Bombyx mori: one gene and its partner. The protein of the gene in region 2 purifies or fractionates together with the protein of the main gene of each other region. This does not show direct contact. Links are inferred from orthologs where the notes say so. Each region holds a gene or a part of one and is shown on either strand. Other genes may lie near its edges.

Region 1 (4,270 bases), on a different chromosome or scaffold from region 2:
TTACAGGTGGGCTATGAGCTCGTCCACCTATCTAAGCAACAAAAAAACATATATGTCAACATAACTAAGGTATCAATCTACTCTATCTAGGTCATAGACCTTTAGAGTAAAAGGTAGAGAAAGAAAATATCTTTAACGTTTATCGATAAAATCTAATAATATTAAAATCTTCTGGGCAGCATTTTTTTTGGTCAGGAGGAAATCGCCGAACTTCCGCCCTCCCCTGGGGATGGAAGGCGGGGCATGTTGGAGTCGAACTGACTAAAACCTCCTGTCGCTCAACAACCCGCGTCCGAACCTCGCATGAGACAGAACCCATGAAAAGGCAAAGGGGGGAAAGTGAAGCGTTTAGTGCGGAGCACATCTCTCCCATCACCCTCCCCCTCGGGACGCCGGACCAGCGGTCGTCGGCGCCACGACCACCAGCCCTCTCGGTCGGCAGGCTATCCGGAGCCCGTCTAGATGGCGCCGGTTTGAATGGGTTATCCTACGGAATACCCCGCTGGGTCAGAACCAGCGTGGGTCGAGGATAACCGGCCTTCCATCACCCGGATGCTTTTGCGTAAAACGCGTGCAGAGCAGCTTGCACGTCGTCTTCTTAGGCCCCCTTCGCCGGTCCCCAGACCGACATATGAAGGGGACCCGAAACATTTAGAGGGCCAGGGCTTGGGCGAGATCCGCCTCCCTGGCCCCCGCTCGACGGCGGCGGGCTTGCGCGTCTCTCACGCGCCCCGCCGCCTCCTTCTGCGAGATGGTGCACTCGCAGAAGTCGAGCATCGCCTTCCACGACTCGTCGTCGCCGAGCATCGATGCCAATACACTCGGCAACGACAAATTGTTTCCTATTTTTGCGACGACAGCACGGTGCACACCCCTCCCATGCGGGGCAGGCGACGAGGGCAGCACTAAAACCGCCTTGTTTAGCGGCCAGATGACGTCACAGTGGCACGCATTTTTTGTTGACGTTTCATTTCCATAGGTTTCATACTTCAGTGATCTAGGTGGAGCAGGGTCATGTCATTGTTTTTAAAATAGAGTCAGATCATTTTGTTAAGTGGCCTCTCTCGGTGACAATAATAATATGACAATGCAACTGGGGAAATTGATGCTATGTGTCATACTAAGCGTATGGCGTAATGTTAATATTAATGAGCAAATAGTTTGCGGTGAATTACGTCCCGATCTAGTAGATTCTGATTCTGGTCCAGCGGACTGTCTTAGAGTATTAGCAGTACCGTCTCAATGGCATAGCCTATCGCTGACTGCACTAGTCGAAGTTGAGTAATTATTGCGGATGAAGTCACCGTCGTATTTATAACACATAAACAAAAAGCAAACAAACTTAATCATCACATGAATGTTTGCCCGATGTGCGTGTCGGACTCATGACCTATTAAAGAAATTAGCTTCTCTATTAGCGAGTTAGTCAATTCAAAGTGATACAACGAAATTCATTTTTAGGTAACGTTTCAATGGTTAACGTCAAACTGTGTACTCGTATATGCTAAGGAATACATACGAATTATAACTTCTCTAGTTATCTGGTTTTAACTAAGCTATTAATTGGTAATTTTGGATCTATAGCTCTACACAGAAATTTAAAAAATGCGTTGCATAGAGTCTGTCGGTAAAAAATATTTTATTCCTAGCAACTCTAGATGAGAGTGTTTGCTCTACCTATTGCGAGACGTCCAATCTCTATCTAGTCGGTGCTCTATGGTAACTCTCTGGGCTGCGGACGTTCACGAAAATTTTCCGAACATGGCACGAAGCAGCAGGCAGCCACTTTGGTTCTTTCGTCATCGTGTGCTGATTACTACTGAAATTTAATTTATAAATTGCTGAGTGGGGTGATAATAATTATGTTGTTTTTATCAAAGTGAACAATAAAATTGGTGATGTTGGGCTTAGGTTTATTATCATTTCGTCAGAAAACTACCAAAGAACACAAGTTCGTCGTAGAAAATCATAAAAAATCGAGAAAGCTTCAAACGTGTTTGAAGCTTTCGTTTTTGCATTAATGGAACTATGAACCTGGACTCTTTAACGTTGAGCTTATCGCATATACATTATCTCGTCGTAAATTTAAACAAGAAAAATTTCAAGCAGACGAGTCAAGAATTGAATCAGGTAAGAAAACTACCATATTTTATCATTCTTTGTTTTCTGTTGTCGCCATATTGTGAATATTGGCAGCCACGAACTCTTCGCCTGTATGTGTGTGTAGCGTCGGGTTGTTCTATTTGGATATGTTATCGATCGTTATCGCTTTAATAAGTGCTCTGCGTTAGTTTCTTGTGGACACTTTTGATTTACATTGAAGCGTTTGCCTGGTGGCGCATCTCCGCGGAATGATGTCCGGAAATCTATAGTCATAGGTGGCACCCATTTCATTTCCTTCAGCATTTCATTTGTTAAACGTCAATAATCTGCTGTACATATTACGTTTATGATTCATTATTAATTTATCTTAAGAATATTTGAAAAAAAAGCTAACCAAATAAAGTTGAATGTTTATTCTTTTTTTAAAGTATGACAATTTTATTATTCATATAAGTAATAATATGTAATATAATAAATAAGTTAATTAATTATAACAAAGGTTAGAAAAAAGAAAAAAATTTGAAGGTCATTAATAATGTGTTGTGCTATCTGTGCTAATGATTCAATACAACTTCTTTAAAAAATCAGTTGCTAAATTTGTATTATCATACTACTTAGAATATAATAGTTATTAAAAATGACGCAAGATTATTTCAACATGAAAAACACGTTAGAAATTACCCCACATCTAGTCTTTATCAATGGTTGTTTCAACAAACTAGCCTAGCAATAAGTAAAATGATAATAATTAAACTAGTAGTAAATTGCGTGAAGCATGTTTTTGACATGTTGCTATTGCAACATTGCCTGAGTGATTTTCATTCCGTTTGGTTGCTCTGTTTTACTTCCGTGTGTAAAGATTCTAGGAAACATGTGTTGGACACTGTTCAGTAAAATAAAGTAGCAAAATACAGTTTTGACAGCAAAGGAAAATAACTGCTAGTATATAAATTGTATTGTGGGTAGACATGTGTTTTTTAACTGTCCTTAATACTGAACAAAGAAGACAGCAAACACTAAGGAAATCAATTTAATATTTACACCACTTTAAGTAAGCAATTACTATTTATTTTATTTCCCATTAAAAATACTGAGTGTTTGTTAGATTCTTGAAATCGTAATATTATTTATTATGTTGATTAGCAGATACCTACATACATATCTACTACTAAAATATGAACTCTGTCATAAGAAGACTTAGTATCTGCAGTAATAGATTTGCCTCTGATATTCTGTTAAATACCAACATTTATTTTGTAAAATATATGTTTGTACCTCATGTCTAATAACAAAATGGTAAACAAGTAAATTATTTAATAAAAAAAACAAAACCACTGCATTTAAAATATTAACTGAAATGCAAAAAAAAAAAACATGTAATGTTATTAATTAGGTTTTAGGTATTATGATATTACAGGTAAGGGACAAACCAGTTGTTCAATTGGTGGTGTTTGAATGGAAACAAATAAATTGTATTTCTTTGCCTGTCCTCAGGCAGGTATTTGAACTTTGAAAACTGCTATATAGAACAAGGACTCTCATAAATGTTATAAATGTGGATATATATGCTTATTCCTGTATGACCATGTCTTTATGTTGAACAAAAATTATCAAGATAGATAAGCTATTTAAATATTAAAGTGAACAATCAGGTCAGGTCAGGTAACTTATTTACTTTTATGAAAAATTTGTTACTTTAATTTGCTTGGTTACCTACTACATTTTACTGATTTTAATAACAATATAGTACTCAAATATGACAAATAATCCAGTACTAATAAAAAATAAATAAGTAGTACTCCATTATCACTACATAGTATAAAACAAAGTCGCTTTCTCTGTCCCTATATCCCTATGTACCTATGCTTAAATCTTTAAAACTACGCAACGAATTTTGATGCGGTTTTTCTTAGTAAATAGAGTGATTGAAGAGGGAGGTTTATATGTATAATAATATCCATTAAATAGTGGACAAATCAATAGTAAATTACAGTTTCTGAAGCGTAGCGAGGGCGGGTCGCTAGTATAGTATATGTAAAGCTGTCTTTTTTGTCACCTGGCTTTCAAAATGAACTTTCCTCCTAAATCTTTTCATGTATTTCTTCAAAGTTCAAAAATTGTTCTCAGTCTTAGAAAGTTGCCTAGTTGTGTTCTTTATGCTCAACTG
Region 2 (4,272 bases):
CAGTGATAACTTGTAATATCTGTGTGCTCTTAATTTCCTCACCATCAGCTATCCGTCACAGTTAAATGGGGTTTTATATCTCAAGTTTTTTCTATTTCTTTAATTTCATTTAAGACATTACTAGCTTCATCTTAACATTTATTTCATTATAAATCTATTGATGAAGGTAATTTATTTATTTCCTTGTCAAATAAATCTAATGTACAATTTAAGCAGGATATGTTTAATGGAGGATTATAAAAAATTTAAGTTTTCAGGCCAGAGGAAGTTACATGATAAAAGTAAGTGCATTTATTGAGCAACGACTGGAATGAGATCATAACCATTATAACAGTTCATTGTCTTCAATTGTCATTAGTAATATTTTCCTTTCAACTACCACTCATCTTTACTTTGATAATGTCTGAATACCATACAATAAAGTTCCAGGAATAACATTCACATCAATATTTACTCATTTCTGCAATAGATCATATTTATAACTTCATTTAAAATGGAATTTCATTTTAACTGGTGGTAGGAACCCTTGTGAGTCCGAGCAGGTAGGTACCACCGCCTTGCCTATTTCTGCCGTGAAGCAGTAATGCGTTTCGGTTGGAAGGGTAGGGTAGCCGCTGTAACTATACTTGAGACCTTAGAACTTATATCTCAAGGTGGGTGGCACATTTACAGTGTAGATGTCTATGGGCTCCAGTAACCACATAACACCAGGTGGGCTGTGAGCTCGTCCACCCATCTAAGCAATAAAAAGAAATTAAAAGATTACTTTTTATCTCTAGTCAATAGTTAAATTTCGCTTGTTAATGAATTATAAAATTATGAGCCTGTTGTTTTTTGATAATGATCATCCCTTAGCTCTCTATAAACTTCACATTGAAGCAGAATTAGAGTGCATGTTGATTTTAGGATATTTGGCATGATATTCAATAACAGAAAATACTTTAGGTTTTTTTACCATGATAGGCGGCTAATCATAAATAGGTTAAAGTCAACTGCAAAATGGATACATGCTGATGTCATCTAACAGGTCCAAAGAATAAAAAAACCAATTGTAAGATTGTCAAATCTTCATGATCATTATATTCGATGAATGTAGGTCAATTTCTACTCCATTCATATTAGACAGATGCTTGTTTCAATTTAATTTTATTTAATCTTTACATGCCATAGTTTTATTCTAACATATTTGTGTATGAACAAAATATTGAATTAAATAATTGTCATATTAATATCTTCATTTGATATTATTTTGGGTACAGTTTATTTATTTATGTGATAATATAAAATGGTTTTCGAGATTAACATTAGGTCATATTTTACAGTATTATAATGAATTACTGGTGGTAGGACCTCCTGAGAGTCCGCACGGGTAGGTATCACCACCCTGCCTATTTCTGCCATGAAGCAGTAATGCGTTTCGGTTTGAAGGGTGGGGCAGCCGTTGTAACTATACCTGAGACCTTAGAACTTATGTCTCAAGGTGGGTGGCACATTTACGTTGTAGATGTCTATGGGCTCCAGTAACCATTTAACACCAGGTGGGCTGTGAGCTCATCCACCCATCTAAGCAATAAAAAAAAATTGACTATTACACACAGCTTCTTCCATATGGTCAAGGAATGCTATGGGAATTTTCAGAAGATAGTAAAATGCAAATAAGTATGAATGTAATGTTGAAAAAATTTAAGAATAGTGGTAATGTATTGAATTTGTAAATGAATCATTGTGTTGATAGATTTAGACTTAAGATTTCTTGACCTCAATATTATGTTTTATGAACTTAAGAGATTAGGATTTTGGTTGCCAGCTGATACAGCCCTATAGTTGAACCATTTATTGTATATAAAAAACAGATATTCAAGACCCTCAATTTAAACTAATGAGTTTGTATCATAATGGAAGAGTGTAGTCAAAATATGAAACAGGAAAATAAAATGGACATTAAGAAGTTTGTAAATTATGAATATTGAATATCTGAGTATTGTCTAATTTGTTATTGCTACTGTATTTGTGTGAGTATCCAAATTTATTGGAAAGGATATTGAATTTGTATTTAGTATTCTTCTATAGTTTCTACATTCACATTAATACAAGATTACTTTTATATTTATTTTAAATTATTTTACAATCAAATGAACCAATAATGTATCTATAAACATTATTTTTTAATTATAATTACATTTTACACTTATCTACATAAACACTGATACAGTTGTTTTCTTAAGAATAAACATAATATTCAAGAAAAATATTGATGTTGATTTTAAATAATGTACCTTTGTAACAACGGTAGGGGTCATTAGGTGTGATAGATACACTTTATACGATAAATTATCTTCTTTCGTAAAAAAGGGACAAAACAGTTCCATAACCTCTGTTGTACGACTAGGAAACCTAAAGAAAAGGACCATTAAAACTTCCTTGAAACTGACTGAACAGACTGTCTGTGTGGCATACCCTGTTTCGACAAAAAATTGACAATTTAATTCATTATTTGTACCATTGCTAAGTAAATGCGTAGCATCTTTGTGTACAGCTGACAAGAAGGAGATGAATTGAGTCCAAAGCAGTTGGCTCGGCGAGCGCCAAGTCATTATAACAATTTAACGTTATAATTTAGACGTTAGATTTTATCTAGCATTTTATACATACCTTCATCTACTCCCTAAAACCTTATACTGCAATTATGATTATAGTAACGGGTAATAAATCACTGTAAACACACAACAGCACAGTCTTTGACAACCAACCACATCAAACGTCCATTTACTGACTGCAGCGACAATTCGTTTTGGCGGCAGGTTCTAGAACTTTTTAGTACCTGTAACCATAGACAAAATATTTTTTAAATTAAATTCTATATTTTGTCTTTTACAATAAAACCCTTTTGTTCGAGGCCCTTTTTTAAAGAGATAAAGTCAATTCGCTTATTTCTATTCCTAAAATATTATCCATGACGTTTACCATATTCACAGTCTTTATATAAACTTATTCAAATATTTCATATTTAAGTTTTATTTTATGTTGGCTTTTTTTAATTTCCGCGGTAGACATACTAGCATACCATCAATCAGTAAGTGCTTACTGTCACCCCTGAACATTAGCAATACCAGGAACGCAGGCAAGCCGCTGCCTACCGATATATAACATTACTAAATAATACAAAACTAAGTGACAAAAATTTCACTGCAAATTGCCTTGTTTGCTCCGCTCTATTTCTGCATGCCGGGTAACGGATATGATAAGATGCACTTTTTTAAACGTGTTTCTATAACCTGTAGTAGTATAAAAGTATAAGTATTGCAAAGGAACGTTGCATATAGTAGCAGTGTGTAATATAAAGGAATGTAGTAAATGCTGATTGATAATCACTGTATGAAGATTAAATGCTCGGAGAATGTTAATTTTTATACATCGGTAAATTTTTTCGTCGGTAAGAAATGGAATGGTACTGTCGTAGAATCACCGCTCGGTCGCTCACGCGGCTCGCACACACAAATACCCTCCAATCGCTACAATCCCGCCTTTGCAGGCTAGCCATCGGAGCTCGGTGGTTCGTGAGGAACATTGATCTACACGACGACCTGGGCCTCGAATCAATCTGGAAACAGACGAAGTCAGTGTCGGAACGATAGTTCGATAAGGCTATGCGTCATGATAATCGCCTTATCATTGCCACCGCTGACTTCTTCCTGAATCCTGATCACACCGGAGCCAGTCGCCGTCGACGCCCTAGACACGTTCTTACGGATCCATCAGATCCAATAACTCTTGCATTAGACACCTTTTGCTCTAACACCCCCAGGAGTAGGGAACCCGGTAACTGTACTCGTCAACTCATGATTAACGTATTAAACATGCGATAACAAATTAAAAAAACCCTTTTTCGTGTATACTTTACGTAAGTAATGTATACAATTCCTAAGATTGTATAGACCTGCCAGTCCACCGGTAATGTGTGAAATAACTATATTTGGGCCTGTTTTTATCATTGTTATGTAAGCCAGTAAGTAGAAGGGTATAAAACGACGGAAAAATAGCACATTAGATTTGCTTAAAATCAACTTTATTAAAATTTCCAATTAGTAAGTAGTTAGTTCTGATTAAAAACAATATTTTTTCAAAGTTAGGTATTTATAGTAAAATCACAATCAAATAACATTGAACTTAAAATTCTTCTGGGTTAACTAACATAATCTAATTTTCTCATAAGTAATCAGTTAAAAAGCTTAGACAACAAAACAATTCTGTAAAAACAAGATGTAGATCTAC

The links. The genes of interacting proteins can lie anywhere in the genome.
Region 1: the proteins of CCR4-NOT transcription complex subunit 6 (region 2) and CCR4-NOT transcription complex subunit 1 purify together in Drosophila melanogaster (affinity purification with western blotting; 6 studies listed by BioGRID, with this or other methods). This does not show direct contact. The link is inferred for Bombyx mori from reciprocal best matches to the Drosophila melanogaster genes twin and Not1.

What each region holds. Positions count from the first base shown.
Region 1 is NC_085107.1:17,975,609-17,979,878, reverse strand, and holds the start of CCR4-NOT transcription complex subunit 1, read left to right. Parts: upstream 1-1,470; 5' UTR 1,471-2,028; coding exon 2,029-2,130; intron 2,131-2,237; exon of another isoform or gene 2,238-2,378; intron 2,379-3,043; exon of another isoform or gene 3,044-3,154; intron 3,155-4,270.
Region 2 is NC_085112.1:13,066,312-13,070,583, reverse strand, and holds the start of CCR4-NOT transcription complex subunit 6, read right to left. Parts: upstream 2,801-4,272; 5' UTR 2,653-2,800; intron 1-2,652.